2 linked regions of the Alligator mississippiensis genome follow. The protein of the gene in region 1 interacts with the protein of each later gene in a pairwise test. Links are inferred from orthologs where the notes say so. Each region holds a gene or a part of one and is shown on either strand. Other genes may lie near its edges.

Region 1 (7,937 bases):
TGCTCACTTTCCCAGGGAGAGAAAGGCTCTCATTATGGGGTACACAACCTGCTCCCTCTGATTTACTGACTGAGGAGGTTGATTATAAGCCCCTGGCTACCTTTCTGAGGGCTTCACTTTGGCCCTTGGTTACTGTCCTGAGGGCTTCATTCAGCGGCCACTGAATACACTCTCAGTTTCTCTTCTGCAGAGTTCTATATGCTCAAGAGTGAGACCTGATTTCACTTCTTGTCATTGTCCTAGGACTACAGGAATTTGAGTTTTCCCATCTGGTCCCTGTCCTTCAGTGACCTTTGTCTTGCTGATCTCAGAACTGAATTGTGCTTTACCTCAAAGCAGATCAACAAAGATTTGTGTTTCACTTTAAGCTACTGTGTTTGCATCTGGCCCCTCTCCTGAGACACACGTGATCATGTTGCTAACAGGCCTGTGGGAGAGGGTAGGTGGGGGGCATGGTACCTAATGGGTCCACAAGGGGCAATGATGTCTCAAAAACAACCTTCACAGATTCCCTGGTCAGTATGCAGACATGGCAGGCAAGTGAGATTTGTCTGACCTCACCCTTCCCACTTTAACCCACTCAGAGCTTTTCATCCTCCTACCTTCCTAGTGGAAAAAGTGGAAGGGTGAGAAGGGACTGAGTGACAAAGCAGTCTCAGCCAAACAGGGCTCAAACCCTGTCAGGTTGCATTGGAGAAGGCCACCTGCATCCTATTTGATAATTCAGCAGGGAACTTACTATCCCTTTGACCACAGTGACCTTGTTGCTCCTTTCCCATCTCTTCTGATCCCCAGTAACTGCAACAGCCCATTCAACCAGCGGAGCAGTGATGGGGACACCAGCTTGTTCAAGGGTTGGACTCAAACTGGGCTTCCCTCACCATCCTAGTGGGCACTCCCTCCCAAGCACTTATTCAGTGTATCAAATGAAAACTGACCCATTTTCAAGACAGCAGAATGGAATGAGGTCAGGGAATTAGGGCAAAGAGCATGTAATGTAACCCACTTCCAGCAGCAGGGAGAGGTGTTAAGAAGGAAGTTTGGGGTTTCTAAGACTCACCCTCTTCAGCCATATCTTTATCCAGTACCAGCTTGCCATGACGGAGAAAATTCAGGATAGGTCCAAAGTATGTGGGGTCCCGGTCTATGAGGTAGGCACCAGTCTCATCCTAACCACAGAGACAAGCCAACATAGGAAAAATGTACAAGGGAAACTTGTCCCCATCCCTGACAACACCATGCAATGAACTGTAATAACATAATAATTTTAGTAACAATATATGATATTTCTATGGCTCTTTTGAGTAGTAGTAAAGACATGGCAATGGAGCTGGGTTCAGTTCTCTTGGCTATGCAATCTTGGGACATTTACCACAATCTCTCTGTGCCTCAGCTTCCCTATGAAAGATGAAGATGATGCTACCTCCCTTCTTTAAGAGATTTGAGATGAAGAAAACCATAAGCATTAGGCCTCTTAAATCCTTCCGAATCACATAGGCATACAGTACCATATAGAAAAACAGCCACATCTGAGTGAAGGGCTGCTGGTAAATGCTGCAGACAACAGTGCTACAAATACACAAGCTCAGGTACTTTGGCAAAGTCAGCATCAAAGCCAAGCAGCCCATCAGGCCAACACAGTTAAAGCACTCCAGTTTCTGCAGCCAACAGAGGGACATTATGTTCAGCTGCTTCTGGTTCTCCTGCCTAAACGAACAAGTACATATTTACAGCTGGTTCAACAGGAACAGATTCCAGCACAAGTCCAGCATGAGGCTCAAACACACAGCTTCAGGTTCACAGCAAGATGCCTTAACTACTATGTTATCATACTTTGCTTGGCAAAGCATGCTGGGTCAAAACAGTACCCAGGATTTTTAACTTTCATACAGAGCAAGCGGGACCTTGATTGTAAAGGTCTCACTATCCTAAGCTCAGCCCCGCAGCAAAAGAGACAATACTCTTACTTTTTCTCCCTCTGATAAACTGAAAGGATCTAGGAAACTCCTGCACAGATTTGAGCTGATGGGCTTCCTGACATTTCAGGCCTGAAGCTGCCACCCCTCCAAACTCTCCCTTCTGATTGATAAGGCTTTCTGGGAGCTTTACTACATTTCCCTGTCAGTAACAGCAAGAATCAAAAATAAAAAGTCGGGGACTCTCCACTCAGCATGGCTCCTACCTTGACAGTCGCATGAAGGCAAGGAGGATGGGAAGCTCTTAATTTTGGCTGTACTCGGCAAAGCTATTTCTCCTGTCAGGCTTCAGCTTAAAGTCTGAGCCAAGCAGTGGCTCAAAGCTAGGGCACTTCAGGTGGAGTAGTGACAGCACAAGAAAACAGAGCCTCTCTGGAGTTGCTGGTAGTTCTGGTGCAGAAGACAGGTGTTATGCCACATGTTAAGACAGCTGCATGGCACTAAAAAGAGAAAACCAGGGGATCCAGGGAGGGATGAAGGTCTCTCCATCAAATTACATCTGCCCCTCTGCAGCCGCAGAGATGCTGTGCCCTCCCTGCCATCAGCCTGGCTCCATCCCTTTCTCTCCTATTCCTGCACCGAACCTTTCTCTGCCCGTGTGCTCCTTTCCCTCTCTCCTCTTTTCCTCGTGCCTCCCAGCCCAGCCTGTGCAGAGCTTTGTCTCTCCCTCAGGGGTCCCTTTCTTCCCAGATGGGTACAAGAAGAAGGCAGAACACAACCGCATGCACGCACACACGATGCCAGGCAGAAAGCTACCCCTCAGGGCAGGTGCCAGCCTGATGCTTACCTGGTCCGACTGCAGCTCCTCCCCCTGGCACAAGCGGCACAGGAATGATTTCTGTTCCCGGCACAGGGTCTGCCTCGTGGTTAGGAAGATGGTGCCCCCAACATTCAGCCGTACCCACTTGCCCCTGCTGCTGGTGGCAGGGGGAGGCTGGTGAGTTTCCCAGGCATAAGAAACCCTTTCTGCCCGTTGCATTTCCTCCCTTCCTTCCATCCTCATCTCTCCCTCTCTCTGTCTCTCTCTGTCCCTCCCCTGCTCCTAAGCTAAAGAAACCAAGGCAGGTATTGGACACTGGAGGATTCTGGGACCTGTAGTTCCTGAGGTGGCCTGCACCCCAGAGGTGGCCGCATTTCAGTGGTGCTGTACATACACAGCTTCTTAAATGCTATGGGATCTTTTGGGAAGATAGATGCTGGATGAATGCCGTATCTACTGTTCTTGGTGAATGGCACAAGAAGCAAAAGTGAGATCCACAATCTGAACCACTGCTATCATTCAGAGGGCATTAGGATCACGGTTTTTGCTTACAGCCCTTCTCTAATTTTTATGAGTGTACTTGCTATACAGCACTTTGAAGAGGCAAAGTAATATGTAAAAAACTTTAGCTGTCAGGTGAGTGAGGGTCTCTCTGAAAATGGGCACCTAGGAATTCTGGGAACTGTAGTTTTCCATGTCCCACCATGCCTGCAACCCATGATGGGTGGACTTGGGAGATGCTGAGAAGTGCAGTGTAACACATCCCACTAACCCTGCTGTGGGACACCAAAGGGCTCTAGAAGCTGGCCTCCAGATCTGGGTCACAAATGCAGTGTGCTTTGAATGGAGGAGAAAACTGCTGTGCCCATCTGCCAAATAGTGTTATCCCTTCCAGTGCCTGCAGGACAGTCACCTTTCCTGTTCCTGATTCCCCAAACAGGTATCTGACTGCTATCTCAGTCACTGCAGTGCTGTTGAAGTAGAGAAGTTGGACAATTTCCTTCTCTGAAGTGGGTGGTTTTAAGAGAGGGAAATTAGCCTTCAGCAGCAAAGCCCAAGTTCTTTATATTTCTCTCTGACTCAGAACAGCCATCTATCTACTTGGCAAATTTTCCCTAATCTGCTACCGTTCCAACACCTCTAAATCTGCCTGGCAGAGACTCCTTCGTGGGGGGGAAGGAAAATGAGTCTCCATGTTCACTTAGTCACAGGGCTTTGCTGCTACCACACACACACACACACACACATACTCTCCAGTGTACCTCTGGAATGATGTAGCACCTTCTAAAAGTTTCTACCTCTAGCTCTTCTGAATGCCCCATTCTAGGCAGTGGTTGTGGGAAAGAAAAGACCAGCTTCATCAGCAATTTAGTTGCATGGATTCCAAGACTTAAGCAAAACACGAATGCTTTATCTATCCCACAACCCAGCGTCTACCACACCCTACTAACCAACTACAGCCACGCCTGCCAATCTTTCAAACCGTATTCATATCAGGAAGAAAAATGCTGATTGCTTCCCTCCCTTAGTCTGACACAGTCTATATCTTCTCTTACCTCTTTTCCAAATAGGTTTCTGACCTTTGGTAGTGCAACACACAAAATGCAGCAGCATAGACATTTTAATTTATCATGTCCAAATGTTGCCTTTCCAGTCCAGGCTGTTGCTACACCATGATATGCATGCTCTAGCTTTTGTTCTAATCAAGGATATGCATCTATATATTAATAACAGTGTTTGCAGGAATGGTGCTCAACCTTTTTAAGGCACCTCTTGGAAAATACTGGCTTTTAGTTTTCATTCTTTTTTGAGTATGGGAAAATAATAGAGCCATTTTTCTGTTGCAAATAAATCATATAGACCACAACAGGTCAGAATGTTTTTAACATTATGGATACCTAGTTGAAATCACTGGGTTTATCTTGTGAATCATTCTTGTACACCGAACAGTGCTACCTTTGTGTAGCACCCTACAACACCCTTGAAAGAAACTCACGGTACTCCAGGATGCCATCATTGCCTTAGGCGCTTTTGCTGATGTAATCGGGCACCAAACCCCTTCAAAATCATGTTGCAGTGCTAGATGTTAATATCTGAACAGAAATCACAGGCCTGACTGTGCACCTTCAAGGTGTTTGCAAAATTGGGCTGTGCTTTTCAGGCCAGCAAGTAGTGTATTGGGTGAGCATGGGCAGACTAGCATTACTTTGGGCTATACTGATTGCTCTAGGATAGTCTGTGAGGAAATTAAGGGATTAATAGCAAAGAAATTATGTTCTGGGAAGAAGAGAGAGGGATGGGAGGGGCAGAAAGCAGGAACAGGGAATTGTAGGACTGCTACTGGAGGATTTCCTATGCTTATTAGGCCTGTGTGAGTCAGCAGCAATCTGATCCGGCTTCAGATCTGGCCGCTTCGGATGGCCGCGATCCGATCTGGAACTCCGACTGGGTTCCCGCCTCCATCCAGCCAAAGCATCGGAGCCACCTCGGAGATCTGGCCATAGGGTATAATGGGGAATCAATGAAATATCTATAACTTTGTTGTTTTTTGTCTGATTTGGATGAACCTTGCAGGGATGGTAGCCTCTCCTGAGAGCATGAAACCTGCCACGTTTCAAGAAGATCAGTGCAAGGGTTTGGGAGGAACTGTACCCCAAATTCTTGAAAGCCAAACTCCTGTCATGTCTATGTGTTACAATGGGGTTGGGGGGTGGGGGGGGTGAAAACTGCAGGACTGGTAGCTCGTACTGTGTCCACAAAGCCTGCCAAGTTTCAAGGAGATCGGTGCAGGGGCTTGGTGGGAACTGCACCTCAAGCTGTGGTCAAGCAAAACTCATGCCATGGGTGATACTGTGCGCGCTAAGGCGCAGCGGGGTGACAGCTGCAGGGATGGTGGCCCCTGCTGTGGCCACGACGCCTGCCAGCTGGAGGAGATCGGTGCAGGCAGGTCTGGGGCCCTGCATCCCTAGCTGCTGACAGACAAAACTGTGCCAAGACTGTCTGTGTCTTGGGTTAGTTGATTGTCTGCTTTGATTCTTTCCTCTCCTTAGCCTGGGTTTGTAGGTGCTAATTGATGCTCGTTAAGTCGTTATGTAGTAGCTAGGTCCTGTGTATTGAGCTGGGCCCTGAGGCCCTGGTCCCTGAGAGAATCATGGATTGATTGGTAAGGGGGAACCCAGCAGCTTAGCAGCCAGGCCTGCAGCAGCAGTCTCCCCTCCCTGTCCCAAGACAGACACAGTCAGTCCCACAAGCACCCATGGCACCAGTTTTTCTTGTCTGCAGTTTGAGGGGCAGTTCCCCCCAACCCCCTGCACCGATCTTCTTGAAACTTGGCAGGCTTTGTGGCCTCAGTAAGAGCTACCAGCCCTGCAGTTTTCACCCCCATGTTGTAAGACATAGACGTGACATGAGTTTTGCTTTCAAGAATTTGAGGTACAGTTGCCCCAAAACCCCTGCACTGCTCTTCTTGAAACTTGGAAGGATTCATCCTACCTGCAGAGTCTACCACCCCTAAAAATGTCATCTAAATTGGACAAAAAACAACAAAGTTATAGGTATTTTATTGTTTCCCCATTATACCCTATGGCTGGATTTCCGAGACGGCTCCGAGACAGCTCCAAATCGCTTCGTGAAGCCTAATGAGGCCAGTGCTTCGACCCGGATCTGCCGCTTCAGACCCCGAAGCATCTGAATCTTCTCTGGATCCAAAGCTCTGTCCAAAGCCTCACACAGCCCTAGTGCATATACGCTGTAGCTTGTGGCTACAGGGTGACTACACCGAAAAATTAGGCTTGACTGTCTGGAGTCTGGGGACCCAGGAGTGCTGGGAGTTGACTACTGAGGTTCTGAATGTGTCTGGTTAGGGAGCATTGGCATATATATCTGGGCTTGCCCAAACTATCAGCACATATATATCCAGACATATGATGAGCTCACAATGAAAAGAGCAAGCCAGCAGCACCCTGACTTGCTAAGTGAGCACAGACTCTGGTTATTTTTCTCTTGAGATGACACCAATTCTAACTTGTTGCTTCCCTATAGAGTTGGGACATTAGCTCTTTTAAATGACTTTGAGAAAGGGTGTGAATTAAACAGAGATGCTGATGAGGCTGCATGTGGTACCTGTCCCCTTCACTGTCAGGGAAGGCAGTGGAAGCTTTTGCCAAGTGCCTGAGGAGGTCTGCGGCAATCTTAAACTTTGTAAAATAGCTCTGCTACCAAAGGTGATGCTGACATACAAAACAGAGAGAAACTATAGAGGGAGTGAGCTGAGAAGAGGGGATACAGTTATGCTGGAATGGCTACAAGAAAGAGGTTCCCCCTCTGAAAAGGAGGAAATAGGGGAAAATAGGGGAGAGTTACAATCTTTCAAGAGGCTTCTGAGTGTGGAACAGATCCAGAACCTGCCCCAAGACTGAAAGGATATGTGCATCATAGGGGAATGTGCAGATGGTTCAAAGACAGCCTAAAGAGGAGTGTCCCAGACATGAGATCCAGGTAAAGGGAGAGGAAGGTGCTCTAAACTGAGGGCATGTGGGCATGCCTATGGCAAGTGGGAGAGGCATCCCTCAACTGACTCCTGACATTTTATCGCCTGATGTAACCTCTCCCAGGGACTGGGGCACGAAGGACCCCGAGCCACATGCCCTAGGGTTAGTGCATCATAGCAGCCCGAGCAGAGCAGGTGAGATGCTGCTCTTCAGGTGCAGGTGCTCTGAATGCAAGGCCAGAGCAGGTAAATAATCTGCAATCAGACCCAGGATCAACAAGAGGTACCAGTCAATGTGGTGATATCTGAGGGATGGAAGTACATGAAAGCTGCCCATGCTTGGTCAAACCCTGCATGGTACCCTTCAATAACATCGCTGTCACAGTTCCAAGGTTAACTACATAAATAATCCTTTTATGGCATTCTCAAGAGCAGCTGATTAGATCTTGGGTCTCTGGCTGTCACCTGTTTTTGGAACAGAAAGTTGTATTCCACCTCTTCCAGACCGGAATTTTAAGGTGCAGTCCCCTGAGGTCCAACTATGTTCACCCATGCACTATAATGATGACAGGCTTTTGGTGTGGGAACCAAAGTTACGGAGCATGCTGTATGGGGGGACAACTCAAGACATGGAATGAGACACATATGGGCTGGGGGCCATATAGGCAAAGCTGGTTGTTCATGTGGGTGTGTAGTTTAAGCTACATGTTAA
Region 2 (7,602 bases), about 1.1 Mb from region 1:
GGTTGCTATCTATAAAAGCTCATGTCTCTGAACCAGTTAGTTCCGGGGGGGGTGTCTACATGTCACCTTTGTTGTTGTTACTGTGCCATGCTTTAGTGCTTGCTCTTGGAAGTACTAAAGAATAATGCAGTAACTACTTGTACTGTGCTGTACACTGTGCGGTTATTTTTCACCACTACAGCACTGCAAAAGCGGGCTAAAATGGGGGAGTGCGCTGCTATAGCAGAGTAGCTGCTGATCATGTGGAGACTCGCATGATCGCAACATCGCCATAACGCGTTGCTACAGCGACATAAGGCAACATGTAGACGCACTTAGGCTGTGTGTAGATGAAACGACGGGCACGTGTACATGACACTTTAAAGCCGGCTAAATGCTTTCGCACTGCTTTGTATCGGTATTTGTATGCATTGGCGGCATATTGTGCATTAATTCCAGCCACTGTAGGAAATTCGGCCATGTAACGTGCCTTAAATGACTTGAGGCCTGAGTTTTAGTCGGCTGCCCCTACAGCAAAGGAGCGAAGCACTGGGCTCCGTGCAGCTCTGCAGGATGTCCTGCAGGCAGCCCGGCAGCAGCTTGGGAAGACAGGTTCCGCCCAAGGAAAGTGGCGAGCCTGATCTTTTTTTCCCCCCCTCCTGGAGCCTGCTTGCTTGCCTGAGCTGCCCTAGCTGAGTGCCTGCAGGCAGGGGCCATGGTGGGGAGGGCGCTGCTACTATAAAGGGCAACGTCAGCCCCCTCCTGCAGCCCAGGGACTGCTCTGCCTGCCGGCAGCTCACCCTCCCCTCCCCGCTACCAAAGAAGCAGCTAAATCAGTGTGTGCGCAACACAAGTGTTTAAAGGGCACTAAATTAAGGGCACTGTTTGAAAAAACCCACCGCTTCAGTTTAGGGCCGCCGTTTCGTCTACACACGCCCTTAAGACAGTAGTTTTCAACCTTTACAGGCTCAAGGCGGTCACCCCTTGTTATACTCAAGGCATTCCTCCAGCTCTTCGTTTTTGCTCATTTTTTGATGACAGAAAAAAAGAGCAAATCTACTGCTGCAAAGACCTCATGAAGATCATAAGGGGTCAGGCTGCTTTTAAGATTATGGATTCCTTTTTGAAATCTCTGGGCTTATTTTGTGAATCAGGTGTGTGTGCACACCCAACAGTGCTACCACAGTGCAACACTCTTGCAGCACCCTTACAAGGACTTCGAGGCACCCCGGGGTGCCCTGGAGCTGAGAATCACTGCTCTAAGATTCATAGATTCATAGATGTTAGGGTCGGAAGGGACCTCAATAGATCATCGAGACCGACCCCCTGCATAAGCAGGAAAGAGTGCTGGGTCTAGATGACCCCAGCTAGATACTTATCTAACCTCCTCTTGAAGACCCCCAGGGTAGGGGAGAGCACCACCTCCCTTGGGAGCCCGTTCCAGACCTTGGCCACTCGAACTGTGAAGAAGTTCTTCCTAATGTCCAATCTAAATCTGCTCTCTGCTAGCTTGTGGCCATTGTTTCTTGAAACCCCCGGGGGCGCCTTGGTGAATAAATACTCACCAATTCCCTTCTGTGCCCCCGTGATGAACTTAAAGGCAGCCACCAGGTCGCCTCTCAACCTTCTCTTGCGGAGGCTGAAAAGGTCCAGTTTCTCTAGTCTCTCCTCGTAGGGCTTGGTCTGCAGGCCCTTAACCATACGAGTGGCCCTTCTCTGGACCCTCTCCAGGTTATCTGCATCCTTCTTGAAGTGCGGTGCCCAGAATTGCACGCAGTACTCCAACTGTGGTCTGACCAGCGCCCTATAGAGGGGAAGTATCACCTCCCTGGACCTATTCGTCATGCATCTGCTGATGCACGATAAAGCGCCATTGGCTTTTCTGATGGCTTCGTCACACTGCCGGCTCATGTTCATCTTGGAGTCCACTAGGACTCCAAGATCCCTTTCCACCCCTGTGCCACCCAGCAGGTCATTCCCTAGGCTGTAGGTGTGCTGGACATTTTTCCTCCCTAGGTGCAGCACTTTGCATTTCTCCTTGTTGAACTGCATCCTGTTGTTTTCTGCCCACTTGTCCAACCTATCCAGGTCTGCCTGCAGCTGTTCCCTGCCCTCCGGCGTGTCCACTTCTCCCCATAGCTTTGTGTCATCTGCAAACTTGGACAGAGTACATTTGACTCCCTCGTCCAAGTCACTGATGAAGACATTAAAGAGTATCGGTCCAAGGACTGAGCCCTGCAGGACCCCACTGCCCACACCCTTCCAGGTCGAGACCGACCCATCCACCACGACTCTTTGGGTGCGACCCTCTAGCCAATTCGCCACCCACCGGACTGTGTAGTCATCCACATCACAGCCTCTTAACTTGTTCACCAGTATGGGGTGGGATACCGTATCGAAGGCCTTCCTGAAGTCTAAGTATACGACATCCACCCCTCCTCCTGTGTCCAGGCGTTTCGTAACCTGGTCATAGAAAGAGACTAGATTAGTCAGGCACGATCTGCCCACCACAAACCCGTGCTGGTTTCCCCTCAGCATAATTTGCCCTGCCAGGCTCTCACAAATGTGAGCCTTGATAATTTTTTCAAAGACTTTACCAAGGATGGAGGTGAGACTGACTGGCCTATAGTTGCCCGGGTCCTCCTTCCTCCCCTTTTTGAAAATGGTGACCACGTTAGCCCTTTTCCAGTCCTCTGGGACTTGGCCCGTGCGCCACGAGCGTTCGAATATTCCCGCCAGTGGCTCTGCAATGATGTCGGCCAGTGCCTTCAGCACCCTCGGATGGAGCTCACCCGGGCCTGCCGACTTAAAGGCATCCAGTTCTTCCAAGTGACTCTGCACCATCTCAGGGTCTACGTATGGAAGTCTGGCGCCTTGCTGCTGCCTCTCTACAACCCCAGTGAGACACTTGTCGTGCCCCTCACTTAGGAACACTGAGGCAAAGAACTCGTTGAGGAGTTCAGCCTTGTCCCCCCTGTCTGTCACCAATTGTTTCTGCCCATTTAGCAGTGGTCCTATTCCTCCCTGGGCCTTCCTTTTACTCCCAATATATCTAAAAAACAATTTCTTGTTGTCTTTTACTTGGGTTGCCATCCTCAGCTCCATGGTAGCTTTGGCCCGCCTAACTGCCTCCCTACAAGCACGAGCAGAGGAGGTATATTCATCTTTAGTGATCTCACCCTGTTTCCACTTTTTATGTGCTCCCCTTTTGGCCCTTAGGCTGCCCTGGATTTCTCTGGTCAGCCATGGAAGCCTCCTGGCCCCTTTCCCTTTTTTGCCTCACTCGGGGATCGTCTTGCTTTGTGCCCAAAGGATCGTTTCCTTAAGGCACAGCCACCCTTCTTGGGCTCCCATCCCTTCAAAGCTCCTACTCTGCAGTGCGTCCTTGACTAATCGCCTGAGTGCATTGAGATCAGCTTTCCTAAAGTCTAGCACTTTCACCCTACTAGTTACCTTACCCACTCGACGTCTTATGTTGAATTCTATTATTAGGTGATCACTGTCTCCCAAATGGCTACCGATCTGGAGGTCCCCTATCATGTCATCCCGTTGCCAATACCAGATCCAGTATGGCATTCCCCCTAGTGGGACCATGCACCTCCTGTGTCAGGTGGAGGTCCTGTATACAGGTTAGAAACCTGCGTGAGCGGTGGGACTTTGCTGTCTGTGTCTCCCAGCAGATGTCGGGGTAGTTTAGGTCCCCCATGACTACCGCCTCTTTAGCTTTTATGGTCTCCGAGAGTTGCCTCAGGAGCCCCGCATCTATTTCTTCCCCTTGGTGTGGGGGTCTGTAGCAGACCCCTACCACCAAATCCCTTTCTCCTTGCCCCCCATGTAGCCTAACCCACAATCCTTCTACTTCCTCAACCTTGGATTCTGTCTTGATGAGGGCTGATGTATATTGCTCACTGACATAAAGTGCAACCCCCCCCCCTTTCTTCCCCGACCTGTCCTTTCTGTACAATCTATAGCCCTCAATATGTACCGCCCAGTCGTGGGATGAATCCCACCAGGTCTCTGTTAGCCCCTGAGGTACCCTCCTGCCATGCCTTGGCCTTTCTTGGAAATGCAAAGATCAGATGGGGTCTTTCAATGGTGAGGTCCCTGCAGTTTTGACTACCGGCTGTCTGTTTCACTCTCTGAAGCAAGGTCTGACAGGGCTCTTCTACACGTGCATAACGTGGAAGGGACGACAACCCTCCTCCCTCAACAGGAGCCAGCCACGCGCCTTAATGAGATGCAGGAGAGGCTCCAGCAGGGAATGCGCCACACGGGGAAAAACCAACGCCCGCTCACTGACACAAGTGGGGGGCGGAGGCAGGGGTGGGCTGCGCGCGCAGGGGGTGGGGCGGGGCAGAGCCCGCGCGGCATTGTGGCTCCGCCCCTTGGCTCGAGGGCGGGAGGCAGTGGCCGTAAATCGCCGACTAGGCGATTTTTCGTGGGTTTTTTTTCTTGGCGGGAAAAGGGTTCTCAGTTTGTCTTCGCAGTTGAAATAAAACGAATCAACGGTCAGGGAGGGGGCTGGGCTCGGCTCCGAGTCACGTGACCAGGCTCTGGGCTTTGCGGGGTGGCGTCCCTGACTGAGGGAAGCAAGAGGCACGTGCCACCTCGGGGTTGTAGAGCAGGCGTCGGTCACTGATGCCCCTTGTTTTAAACGGGAATTGGGGCTTGTGGACAGTTAGACACGGAAGTCAATGGCAGCCCGTGGCGGCGTGACTGGAAAACAAGAGGGAGGTAGTTCAGCGTGTTAGGTTGCAGTCAGTCAGCGGGCAGTGTAGGTGTGCACACCTACCTACAGACTAACTCAGTAAGAGGCATCTCCAGAGCACAAGCTTTGGTGAACCAAATGTTCCCTTATGAGATGTTCATAGCTCCCAATGAAGGGTAATGTGGGTTCACCAAAGTATGTGCTCTATGTATCTTATTTAAGGATGTCTACAGTGGTGCATATCTACCCTCTCTTCCGGAAAATAAGAGCCAAGCAAGCTGCCCTGCCCAAGGAAAGATTCATCATCCTCCATTCCCCTGTGAATCAATCACCATAAATCTCAAGGCAACCCAGAGGAGGAAGGTCCCCAGGGGCCTGACCCTGCTGTCAAAAAAAAAGAGAGGCAACATTTCTATCTGCTTTAATCGCAGTTGTGGCATCAAGCACAATTTATGTATTTAAGCCAGTCTTTCTCACACCGATAAGTAAATAATGCCATACTTTCCTGCATCTAAGTGGGAAATATGGGATGTGCCCCTTCATTTCTGTTTGGGCATGCATTCACCAAACAACACTAGGACAAGAGGTTGGGGGCGGGGAGGAGTTCTGTTGTTTTAATTCCCTTTTAAATTGGTTTTGCCCTCTTGTTCTCCTGTTTTTAAGTTATTCTGATCTCTTGTTATGAGTCACTGTGAGCCTTTGTTGGGAAGGGTGGCATATAAATCAAATATAGACATAAATAAATACACTGAAGACATCCTGTGAAGTGTGGGGCAATCAGCAGTGGTAATACCCATGCATTCATGTTTCTTCTCAAAACTACCCACCTGTGCACTTACCTACGTGCTGTCTCAGGCTTTTGTCTGCTCCCACCTTCCTCTCTATTTATTTCTGTTTTGCTCCCTAATCCTGGAACTCTCCTGATCTCAGTTTACCAAGCAAACAACCCATATCATGCACGTTTAAGAAAAGATACACCTTAAAATAAATTAGCTAGCAGGATGCATTTTGTGTCTAATGTGTGGAGTTGCTCTGTTTAAAATTTTAGGGATAACTAGTATGGTGTGGTGAAGCTTTATGTTGCCTCATTAGGAGCAGTGAAAGGCTCCTTAGTGAAAAGGGGGAATATGAACGTTGCTATATGATTTTGAAGGGTGCAGAATAGTTCCACATCTCCCACTGGAGCAAAAACATTGCCCTGGCTCTCCCTGCTTTTTCTTCCCTATAGAATAACATGTGGCCAAAAGGGAGTCTTTGGACTTTTTGGTTATGCAACAAATGCAGAATCATGCATTTCAGGACAGAGAAGAAATTAATTCTTAAAAAAAAAAAGTGGGGAAGGAGGTTGTAACATCCCTAATATTTCGTACCTTTGTTTTTGTCTTCTTCCAATATTTGGCATGACAAGATTGTTAAAGTCTCTTTAGGTTGATCTGGAAAGTCCTGTCACTGACTTTACTTTTTCCAGATCTGCTAGGTTGGTAGCAAGGAGAACTTCTTCCAGAAATATGAAGAATAGGCTATAAGTGAATATCAATCTTATGGCTGAAGTCATTAGATCCACACACAGTAGAAATAGTCTTTTATGTAAAAATTCAAATAGCCTAATTAGGATATTTTTTCCAAGCATACATTCTTTTTCTTGTCATTATTTCATTGTTATCAGCTTTTCTTAAAATATTCATACTTTTTACTGACAGAGAATTGGATTGCTAATAGAAGATAACACCTTACTCTAATGATTCATTTTTACATTTCTATCAGAACAAATTCAATTTATAATTTAAGTTTTTCCCAGGCCAAACTCAAATCTGGATCCATGTCCCTTGCAAGGGATGAGGTCTATTTGGAACCTGCTAAAAATCATTCTGGCAAGAGTGGGTGATCTCAAAATAACACAACAGGTACTATCATTTATTTGGGTGCCAAGTACTACTGCAACACATCCAGCCCCTATTAACTCAGGCAATGAAGGACCAATCTTAGAATCTGAATTTAGATTTGAGAAGCTGCATTGCTAGGAGAGGATATGTTTTAAAAGTATAACCATATAATCCATAAAACCTTCTTTTGGCAGACTCTTAGCAGGTTAAATTTTGGGGTACAGTTCTGGGTTTTGTTTAGAGAGTTGTTTTATTACTTACTAGTTTATCTTAATATTATTTGCTTTTATAATTTACCTTGTTTTTATTGTAAGCCACTCAGCCTTTTTGGGGAGGACAGCTTATCAATAAAATATATTAATAAATAAATAAATAATCGCTTTACCTGTTTCCACCATAATACTGTATTTGTTTGCTTTTTTCAGTACTGACTAAGCCTTACTGATTGCTTTTTCGCTATGAAAGCCATGGAAGATCAGGTGGTACAGGAAGAACCAGGATACCAGGATGATGAGGTATTTATAAATAGCATAAAATATGTATAACATAACAAATGCTGGCAAAGGGCATCACACAGAATGGTATGTAGTTCAGCAGAATATCCTTGGTGCAGGGGAGCAATCACCAAAGACATGTAATTGGTATTGAAAATGTTATTACAATTGAAAGCAAAGGAAACCTCATTTCCTTACTTTCTTATCAATCTTATCCCTATCTTGGTCCTTATTTTCTATTAACCTCTTGAAGCACATACAGAGATTAATTATATAGGCTGGTCATTATTATAATTGATACACTGTTTACTATTTTATAGCAAATGTAAGAGGATTACGAAACCTTTTATCTTACATTAAGAAGTCATCAACCTGAAACATAGTAGAGAAGAAGAGAAACACAATACAGGTTTTCTTAGTAGGGTTCCTGAGCATGATTCAGGGTTTTTTTTATCTAGATCAGTGGTTCTCACCCTATTTTAGATTTAAGGGCCCACCTGTTAAGACTCAAGGCACTCCTCAGAAAATGCAAGCTCCT

The links.
Region 2: the proteins of KCTD17 (region 1) and DMC1 interact in binary tests that used the Homo sapiens proteins (3 or more experiments, as listed by UniProt). The two-hybrid records come from large-scale screens. The link is inferred for Alligator mississippiensis from reciprocal best matches to the Homo sapiens genes KCTD17 and DMC1.

The regions. Positions count from the first base shown.
Region 1 is NC_081827.1:100,594,690-100,602,626, forward strand, and holds the start of KCTD17 (BTB/POZ domain-containing protein KCTD17), read right to left. Parts: upstream 3,014-7,937; 5' UTR 2,980-3,013; coding exon 2,764-2,979; intron 1,170-2,763; coding exon 1,061-1,169; intron 1-1,060. UniProt on the Homo sapiens protein: Substrate-adapter for CUL3-RING ubiquitin ligase complexes which mediates the ubiquitination and subsequent proteasomal degradation of TCHP, a protein involved in ciliogenesis down-regulation.
Region 2 is NC_081827.1:99,497,575-99,505,176, forward strand, and holds the start of DMC1 (meiotic recombination protein DMC1/LIM15 homolog), read left to right. Parts: upstream 1-4,356; 5' UTR 4,357-4,786; intron 4,787-6,995; 5' UTR 6,996-7,028; coding exon 7,029-7,085; intron 7,086-7,602. UniProt on the Homo sapiens protein: Participates in meiotic recombination, specifically in homologous strand assimilation, which is required for the resolution of meiotic double-strand breaks.